Linked DNA regions of Stegostoma tigrinum. The protein of the gene in region 1 interacts with the protein of each later gene in a biochemical or structural test. Links are inferred from orthologs where the notes say so. Each region holds a gene or a part of one and is shown in the gene's direction. Other genes may lie near its edges.

Evidence for each region.
Region 2: of the proteins of tyrosine-protein phosphatase non-receptor type 22-like (region 1) and lck, one has a biochemical effect on the other in vitro, tested with the Homo sapiens proteins (3 studies listed by IntAct, with this or other methods). The link is inferred for Stegostoma tigrinum from reciprocal best matches to the Homo sapiens genes PTPN22 and LCK.

The regions. Positions count from the first base shown.
Region 1 is NC_081374.1:3,310,826-3,314,577, forward strand, and holds the start of tyrosine-protein phosphatase non-receptor type 22-like, read left to right. Parts: upstream 1-1,121; 5' UTR 1,122-1,205; coding exon 1,206-1,283; intron 1,284-3,752. UniProt on the Homo sapiens protein: Acts as a negative regulator of T-cell receptor (TCR) signaling by direct dephosphorylation of the Src family kinases LCK and FYN, ITAMs of the TCRz/CD3 complex, as well as ZAP70, VAV, VCP and other key signaling molecules.
Region 2 is NC_081377.1:45,812,700-45,816,451, forward strand, and holds the start of lck (tyrosine-protein kinase Lck), read left to right. Parts: upstream 1-1,022; 5' UTR 1,023-1,210; intron 1,211-3,752. UniProt on the Homo sapiens protein: Non-receptor tyrosine-protein kinase that plays an essential role in the selection and maturation of developing T-cells in the thymus and in the function of mature T-cells. Plays a key role in T-cell antigen receptor (TCR)-linked signal transduction pathways.

The DNA.
Region 1 (3,752 bases):
CATTCACAGTGCACACACACAGACATACACAAATACATACAGGCACAGATATGCACATAGACAGATACAAACTCACAAACAGATACACTCACAGACAGATACATAGAGATATACGCATGTAAAAGAACCATAGCTAACACATACCTCACACAAATACACAACCTCAGAGACTCACAGCAACCCCATCCCCCAGAAATATAACCCCAAACAAATTTTCAGTTTCCCCTACACACAAACAACCAAATAAACACACACATGTAAACACATAGAAATTGCCCACCCTATAGTACACACACAGAACAGGCAGAAATAAAATACAGAAGTATATAAATAAAAGTAAAAATGGATTAGATATCCAAGATTATGTAACATATTACATGCCAAATTTGTCTTTACAAGTATTATTGTAAAGTGATTTGAAGCATTTTATTCCAATAAGGGTGTTGTTTGTGTGTAGGGGAGACTGAAAATTTGTTTGGGGTTATATTTCTGGGGGATGGGGTTGCTGTGAGTCTCTGAGGTTGTGTATTTGTGTGAGGTATGTGTTAGCTATGGTCCTTTTACATGCATATATCTCTATGTATCCGTCTGTGAGTGTATCTGTTTGTGAGTTTGTATCTGTCTATGTGCATATCTGTGCCTGTATGTGTTTGTGTATGTCTGTGTGTGTGCACTGTGAATGTGTGTCTGTCCCTGTGTGTCTGTCTGTCTCTGTGTTTTGTACATGTGTGTGTAAGTGTATCTGCGTCTATGTGTATGTATGTCTGTGTATCTGTCGTCTGTACGTGTGTGTGTGTGTGCATGTCTTGAGTGCGTCACTTTGTATGTCTTATTTTTGTTCATTCACAGAATACAAGCTGTTACAAATCAATCACAGTTCCCTAACTTAAATATTTTAATGTAAAAGAGCAATCTCTCGAGTTGGAAAATGGGTGTAAAACTTTAGAGGCGCCCAAAAAAAACACGAGCGTATACCAAACAATGCAGATACTGTCTGCCATCGCCAAGAGGCACTAGGACCCGCAGAGAGCCTGTCTCTCTTCCCTTCTCTGACCGCAGTAACAGTGACTGCTGATTCCCTCCTGCTTGTGTTAAAACCGCAGATATGCAGTTCAAAGTCCTGCCTTTCAGGCCAGTTAAGTCTCAGCCTCTGTCATGTCCCGCAGTCGCTGGGCAGAGTTACCAGCAGCTCGCCAGCTGTCAGCATGGACCAAGGAACCATCCTGGTGAGGTTCCTCAGGCAGGTGCGCAACAAAGAGGAGATAACCTCGGGGGAGTTTCTGGTGAGTCTCTTATTGAGTTTGCTCTGCTAAAGGCGAGCCTGAGGGACAGAGAGTGAGGTACCGCTGTCCAGGGACACTCTGCCTTCTTTGAACGTGGGGAACTGACTGAGTCGGTTAGAGACAGGAGATAGTCCCGCTGTCTCCCCTCAGACCTGACACAGGGCTTCCTGCTTCTTCATTGAGCGCAGGGTCTCGCACTCGGGTTTCTGTGATCTTTTACTGCATTGTAAGAGTTGAAAGAGGAACAGTTTTCACCGCCATCAACTAAAGACCGTAAGTGGCTGGGGCGCGGAAGGAGATCGCTCGGCCCATTGAGTGGCTGCCCGTTCGCTATCGAGAGATAGAGCAACGAGTCGCTTGTGACTCGGAATTCTGTCCTGCGGATGTTTGCATTCGACGTTCAGTTTTTACAGAGAAAGTAGAATCTGAGGCAGTTTTCATGCTTAGAGGTGTCTGACTATGAATAATAACTGGTCCCTGCGAGTGTATCTGTAGTAGATAGAGGGGAACCCAGGAATATGTGAGTGTATAAACTAGGTCCTTGCCAGTCGGTCAGTGAGGATGACCTGGAGTGCTGTGTCACGTTTTGATCTCCTTACATAAGAAAGGAAAAAAGTCACGGTAGAAGCAGTTCAGAGAAAGTTCACTTTGCTGCTTCCTGCTTGTATGACCATGAAGCATTGAACAAGTTGGACATCTATCCTTTAGAGTTTGGAAGAATGAGAAGTGATCGTATTGAAATATGGAAGGTCCTGAGGAGTCTTGCCAGGTCTGGTGAGATAGGGTGTTTGCCCTTGTGGAGTGGTTCAGAATCGGGAGACACAAATTAAAAATAAGGGGTTTCCTATTTAAGAGAGGGACAAAGAGGGATATCTTTCTCTCAGTGAACTGTTAGTCTTTGGAACAAAAGCAGAAATTGCTGGTGAAACTCAGCAGGTCTCGCAGTGTCTGTGGGAAGAAAGCAGAGTTAGCGTTTCAAGTCCGCTGACCCTTCATCAGAATGTCATCATTAGTCTTTGAACCTGTTTCACTCAGAAAGCATGGAAGACTGGGACATTGGGTTAAACAGAGTGTTGATCAATGAGTAAGTATGGGGTTACAGGGGTCTGGGGGTGGTGGCAGACAGGACATTGGACCTAAAGCTACAACCATATCAGCCACAACCTTATTAAATGGCAGAGCAGGCTCAGAAGGCTGAACAGCCTACTCCTGTACTTAATTCTTGAATTCTTGTGTGTACACATTTGCCGTTTTTCAGGGGCTTCCTTCCGATGAAAGACTCTATCCCTGGGATTTAAGTTTCACTACAAACCTTTTCTATAAAGTTAAACTCATGTATAGTTCTGACCAAAGTTACTCCAACCCCTTTTAATTACGATTTTTGTCAGAAGATAATTTTTTCGACACTGTTTGCAGAGCAGTGAAAGGTATAAAATGGCAGGCCATTAAAGGGATTTGAAGATACTTTTGAAGTTAAGTTACTGGTTTATTTTTAGTACTGTGTAGCTATTCACAGACAACTAAACAACATAACGGAAGATCGTTCAAAATGGCTTTCTAGGCCACAGGAACTTCAACAGTATAGCTGGATGACTGAATGTAGAGAATTCAGCCTCATCAAAATGTCCACAAGCTTTCATCTGTACTCTGTAGCCCATGATTATACAACAGAGATCATTTAAACCATGGTCCATGTTCTGGCTCTTTTTCGGAGCTCATTATTTAGTTCCACTCCCCTGCTCTTTCCCCATCAGCCTGCAAACACTGTTTCTTACCGAATTCTCCTTTTGGAGATCAGTATTAAATATGCTTCCTCTGCCTTTGGAAGAACCACAACACCAGTTCTCCAAACCATCAGTTATAAGGAGACATTACATCAACTCAAGATAATAAAATGTGAGGCTGGATGAACACAGCAGGCCCAGCAGCATCTCAGGAGCACAAAAGCTGATGTTTTGGGCCTAGGCCCTTCACCTTATCTTGGATTTTCCAGCATCTGCAGTTCCCATTATCACCATTACATCAACTCAGCTTGTATTCCTTGGGTGATTTTGATTTAAGTTTTAGGATTTTGACAGAAATCGGCAGGGGAGAAAGCAGGCTGTTCCTGCTGGTAGGTGCGAATCCAGGCCACGAGGGTGTAAGCTTCAAGGGAGAACCAGGCAGTTCAGGAGAGGAATGGAGAAATACTTCATTTAAAGATTGATAGCATGATGGAACTGTCTCCAACAGAAAGCAATAGATACAAGCTTAATAATCATTTAAAAGTTTTGAATGGTGAGTTTTTTTTGCCATAAAAGGATGTGAAGTTAACACAACAAGGTGTAGATCTGGATGAACACAGCAGGGCAAGCAGCATCAGAGGAACAGGAAAACTGATATTTCGGGTCTGGACCCTTCTTCAGAATTTCAGCCATTACAGATCCTCACCCTTAACTCCACCTCTCTCACTTACTCCCAAAATCCCTG
Region 2 (3,752 bases), on another chromosome or scaffold:
CCTGGTTCATTCCAGGGCACGAAAGATTCCACTCAAATTGTTCCATACTCCAGCCATTCCCTGAGATGTGTGAGCTCCCAGCTTCACTAGGACATTTGTAAGTAGCATTCAATGGTAGAAGCGATGACAGCTGCCCCATACAGGCTGAGCAGTGTCAATGGGAATGATTGATTTGACTGCAACACAGAGAAGCCAGTGGAATTAGGCGAGGAAGATGTTTATGTCTGGGACTAGTGCAGGGACAAACTTGAACCATTTATTTACAATAATCAAATTGTTACCAAGTTTTAACAACAGAATATTATTTGGCCATTTTGTAATCTTTGGTGAAAGGGCTATTAACATGAGAAAGATATTTTCAGATCATCTTTCTTAGCAATGTTTTGACACACTTCTGGAGCAAGTGGGACTTGAACCCAACCCTTCTGGCTCAGAGATAGGGGCATGACCACTGTACCCCAAAAGCCTTTCTTGTTACCATTAGGAAAGGCAGCAATTTCCAACTTACACATGCGGGTTGATATCAAGTCCAACTGATGCACCAATGATGGTTCATCTGCATTGCTGAAGGCTCCAGCCTCACAGCAGAGCAGCTGCATGATATCTTACTACTTACTGCTTCATTTTGGGGACTTTTGTTTCGAAGGATTCCCAGTTTCCAAGGCAGTTTTACCTGTGGGTTGATGACTCTTGGAAACAGGCTTGAGGTTTCTCCATCTCATAGCAGCTGGTCATTTCTCTTACACCATGGCACGATTGTTCCTCGAAAAAACAAGCTGTTTTCAATGTATAGTGCATGAAGTAACTTTCAATTGAACTTAATTCTGCTATTGAAACCAACACACCTGCAATGAGGAACCCGAGAGATCAGTCTTAACAGCCTTCTCCATTTCTCTGCTGTTGCTCAATTCGACAGGAAGTGGTCGGTTGCCTTTTGCTGGCTGTGGAGATGAGATGATTTGTCAGAGAAGACAAAGAATCTCTGAGGTAAATGCCACGTTTGATCACAAGGTGCTGAACGATGAAACAACAACAATGTGTGTGGAACAGATCAATTAATTCAATGGGTTTACTTCATTGAGATTGGGTTTGTACAATTTCATCTTGCCTCAAAATCCAACCAGTTTGAACAAAAGGAATACCAACATTTTCACCGTCTTGAGTTAATAATACCATGCACGGGAGATAAAGTTTACAACCAAACAAAAAGGTAAGTTGAAAGTTTTTAAAGAGCTTCTGCAGTATCTTATACATCATTCTTTACAGCTCTGGAACATGTTGCTATCAAAATTATTTTCAATATCATGTGAAGATATATTTTCCTCTTTGTGGATGGCATAGATTTGTATTTTGAAGTAAGTTTGCTTCTAATGCTCCCTGGAGTTCAGGACAGTTGAGTAGCTTGGAAACTGTTGCACAATCAAAATGATATATCCCTGGATAAACTGATTGTATTTCATTATAAAACTGAAATACTGTTTAATGTCTACTGTGTGAGAATATGATTTTCTGCATAATTCTAACTCCTTCAAGCCACTGGATCAATATATTGTAGCAAATCCAAATACCATATTTTAAAATGTGTGGCAGTAAGCTATGCACCCTAACTGCTTACTTCAGGTTAACTGGGAGATATTTAAAAACAAAATATACATTATTTAAGACTTCCTTTTCTGTTAAGTTTATAACTATAACTCTCAAGTGTCCTGTTTTAACTGATTTCCTACTGATTTTCTGGTCATACAGTAAGCATTGAAAAGAATTCTGTTTGTTTATGGAATGGAGAAGTTTATTTACAGCAATCGCTAATATTCTGTTCTGGGTGGGATACTGTTTTACTGCTGAGTTATTCATTCTCACCACTCAAATATAAAATTCCTTTTTAGCGAGAGTCTGGGCATGATAAATGCCTTCTTAAATAACGTGCATTTATATAAGATAATTTACATGAATTTTTTTTTAATAATTATTAGGCATAGTGGAGAGTATGCTTGCACAGCCAGAAACAGCTCTAACATAACTGTGGATGTGACCACATGGATGTTCAGCGTGAATTCATTGTTGTTTGTCTTGCCCGAGAGCAGATTCTGGATTCATTCTCTGTTGATGCTTCATCCTGAATTGTCTTCTTGGTGGATCCTTTTCTTGGTGGTTTGTCATTGTCACCCATTCCCGGGGCAGGACGAAGAGGCCGGTCCTAAGCCAACTCAGCATTGGAATTAAACCTATGCAGCTGCTGTTATTTTACAGCACACACCGGCCATCTCGACAACAGAGCTAACCAGCCCCAATTCAACATAACATCCTCTTTCATATAGATCAGGGATAGAGAAAAAATGAAAATATGTTGGCATTTTGTGACTGGAAAAACATCTAGTTCTTCAAAATGCTAATGATATAATTGATGGTACCACACATTTTCAATTTATACATCCACAAGATTTTATCCCCAGGACAACCAGTAATTGCAAAATGGGCGTCATACTTATAAAATAAAGAAAATGAATAATTGTAACTTCTTTTACCACTGTTTGTTCCACATGATTTTTCTTGACTATCCACGAGGATGTATTTGTCTTGTGTCTCAATACAAAGTTCACACAATCCCAGTGTAGTATCCATTTGATAGGGATGAATATATCTGAGCCAACGAGCAACAAAATCAAATGTGAGATCTTGATCCAAAAACTGAACAGTGAGAAGGTACTCTCTTTAAAGCTGAGGACATTACAATTCTGTTAAATGAGTCCATTGCTTCTATTAATTTTTTTCCATTTTTCAAAGGCTTTAAGCGCAGGAGATTTCATTGAAACTGCCACAGCTTAGATTCACCATGGCCTGTACCTAGTTAGATTGAGTAATCTGAGCCAGCCCAGTTCAGTTCTAGAATTGATTTTAGTTTATATTCACTAAGACTTTGTCCATATTCTTTCAGCTAAGATTGTATTGTGGAGTTCTGCTGCATTGAACAATTGGAAATTCGCTTCTGATCTTTACTGCAATGACTTCCAACAAAACACACTTGCTGTGATTAAATAGTTTTGGAAGGAAAATGAGAATTGCAAATAAAAAGCATTCTAAAGTTCAACATTAAAAGGAATTTTATTATAGTATTGCTTCATGGTACATAATCTCAATAAATGGTTATATTCTTATAATAAAATAAAGAAAGTAGGGGTGGAGGTTAGATAGACCTCAGGTTTAGGATACAAGTTCAGCACAATATCATGGGTCGAAGGCCTTGTACTGTTCTATGTTCTATGTTCTATATTTTAAGGCGGATGCTGGACGTCTGAAACAGAAACAGAAAATGCAGGATAAACTCGGCAGGGTTGGCAGCATCTGTGGAGAATAAGCAGGATTAACATTTAGAGTCCAGAGGCCCTTCTTCAGAGGAAAAAGGATCTTCATTGAAGGGCCACTGGGCTCTGCTTTCTCTGCACAGACGTGGCCAGCCCTGCTGAGTTTCTCTGGATTTGCTTTATATAGGGAAAAAATCCCATAGCAAGTCATAAAACAAAACTTGACACCAATCTAAAGAATGAAATATTTGGGTAGACAGCTAAAATCTTCGATAAAATAATACATTTTAAGATGCATTGTGAATGAGAAATAGAGATGGAGCGGTATGAAGTGAGAATTCCAGCACTTAGGGTCTTGAGGCAGCTTGGGCTACAGCTGTCAGTGTAGGGCAGAGGGAGAAAGGGATGTACAATAATCCAGAATTGATGAAACATTGAGTGTTTGGAGGG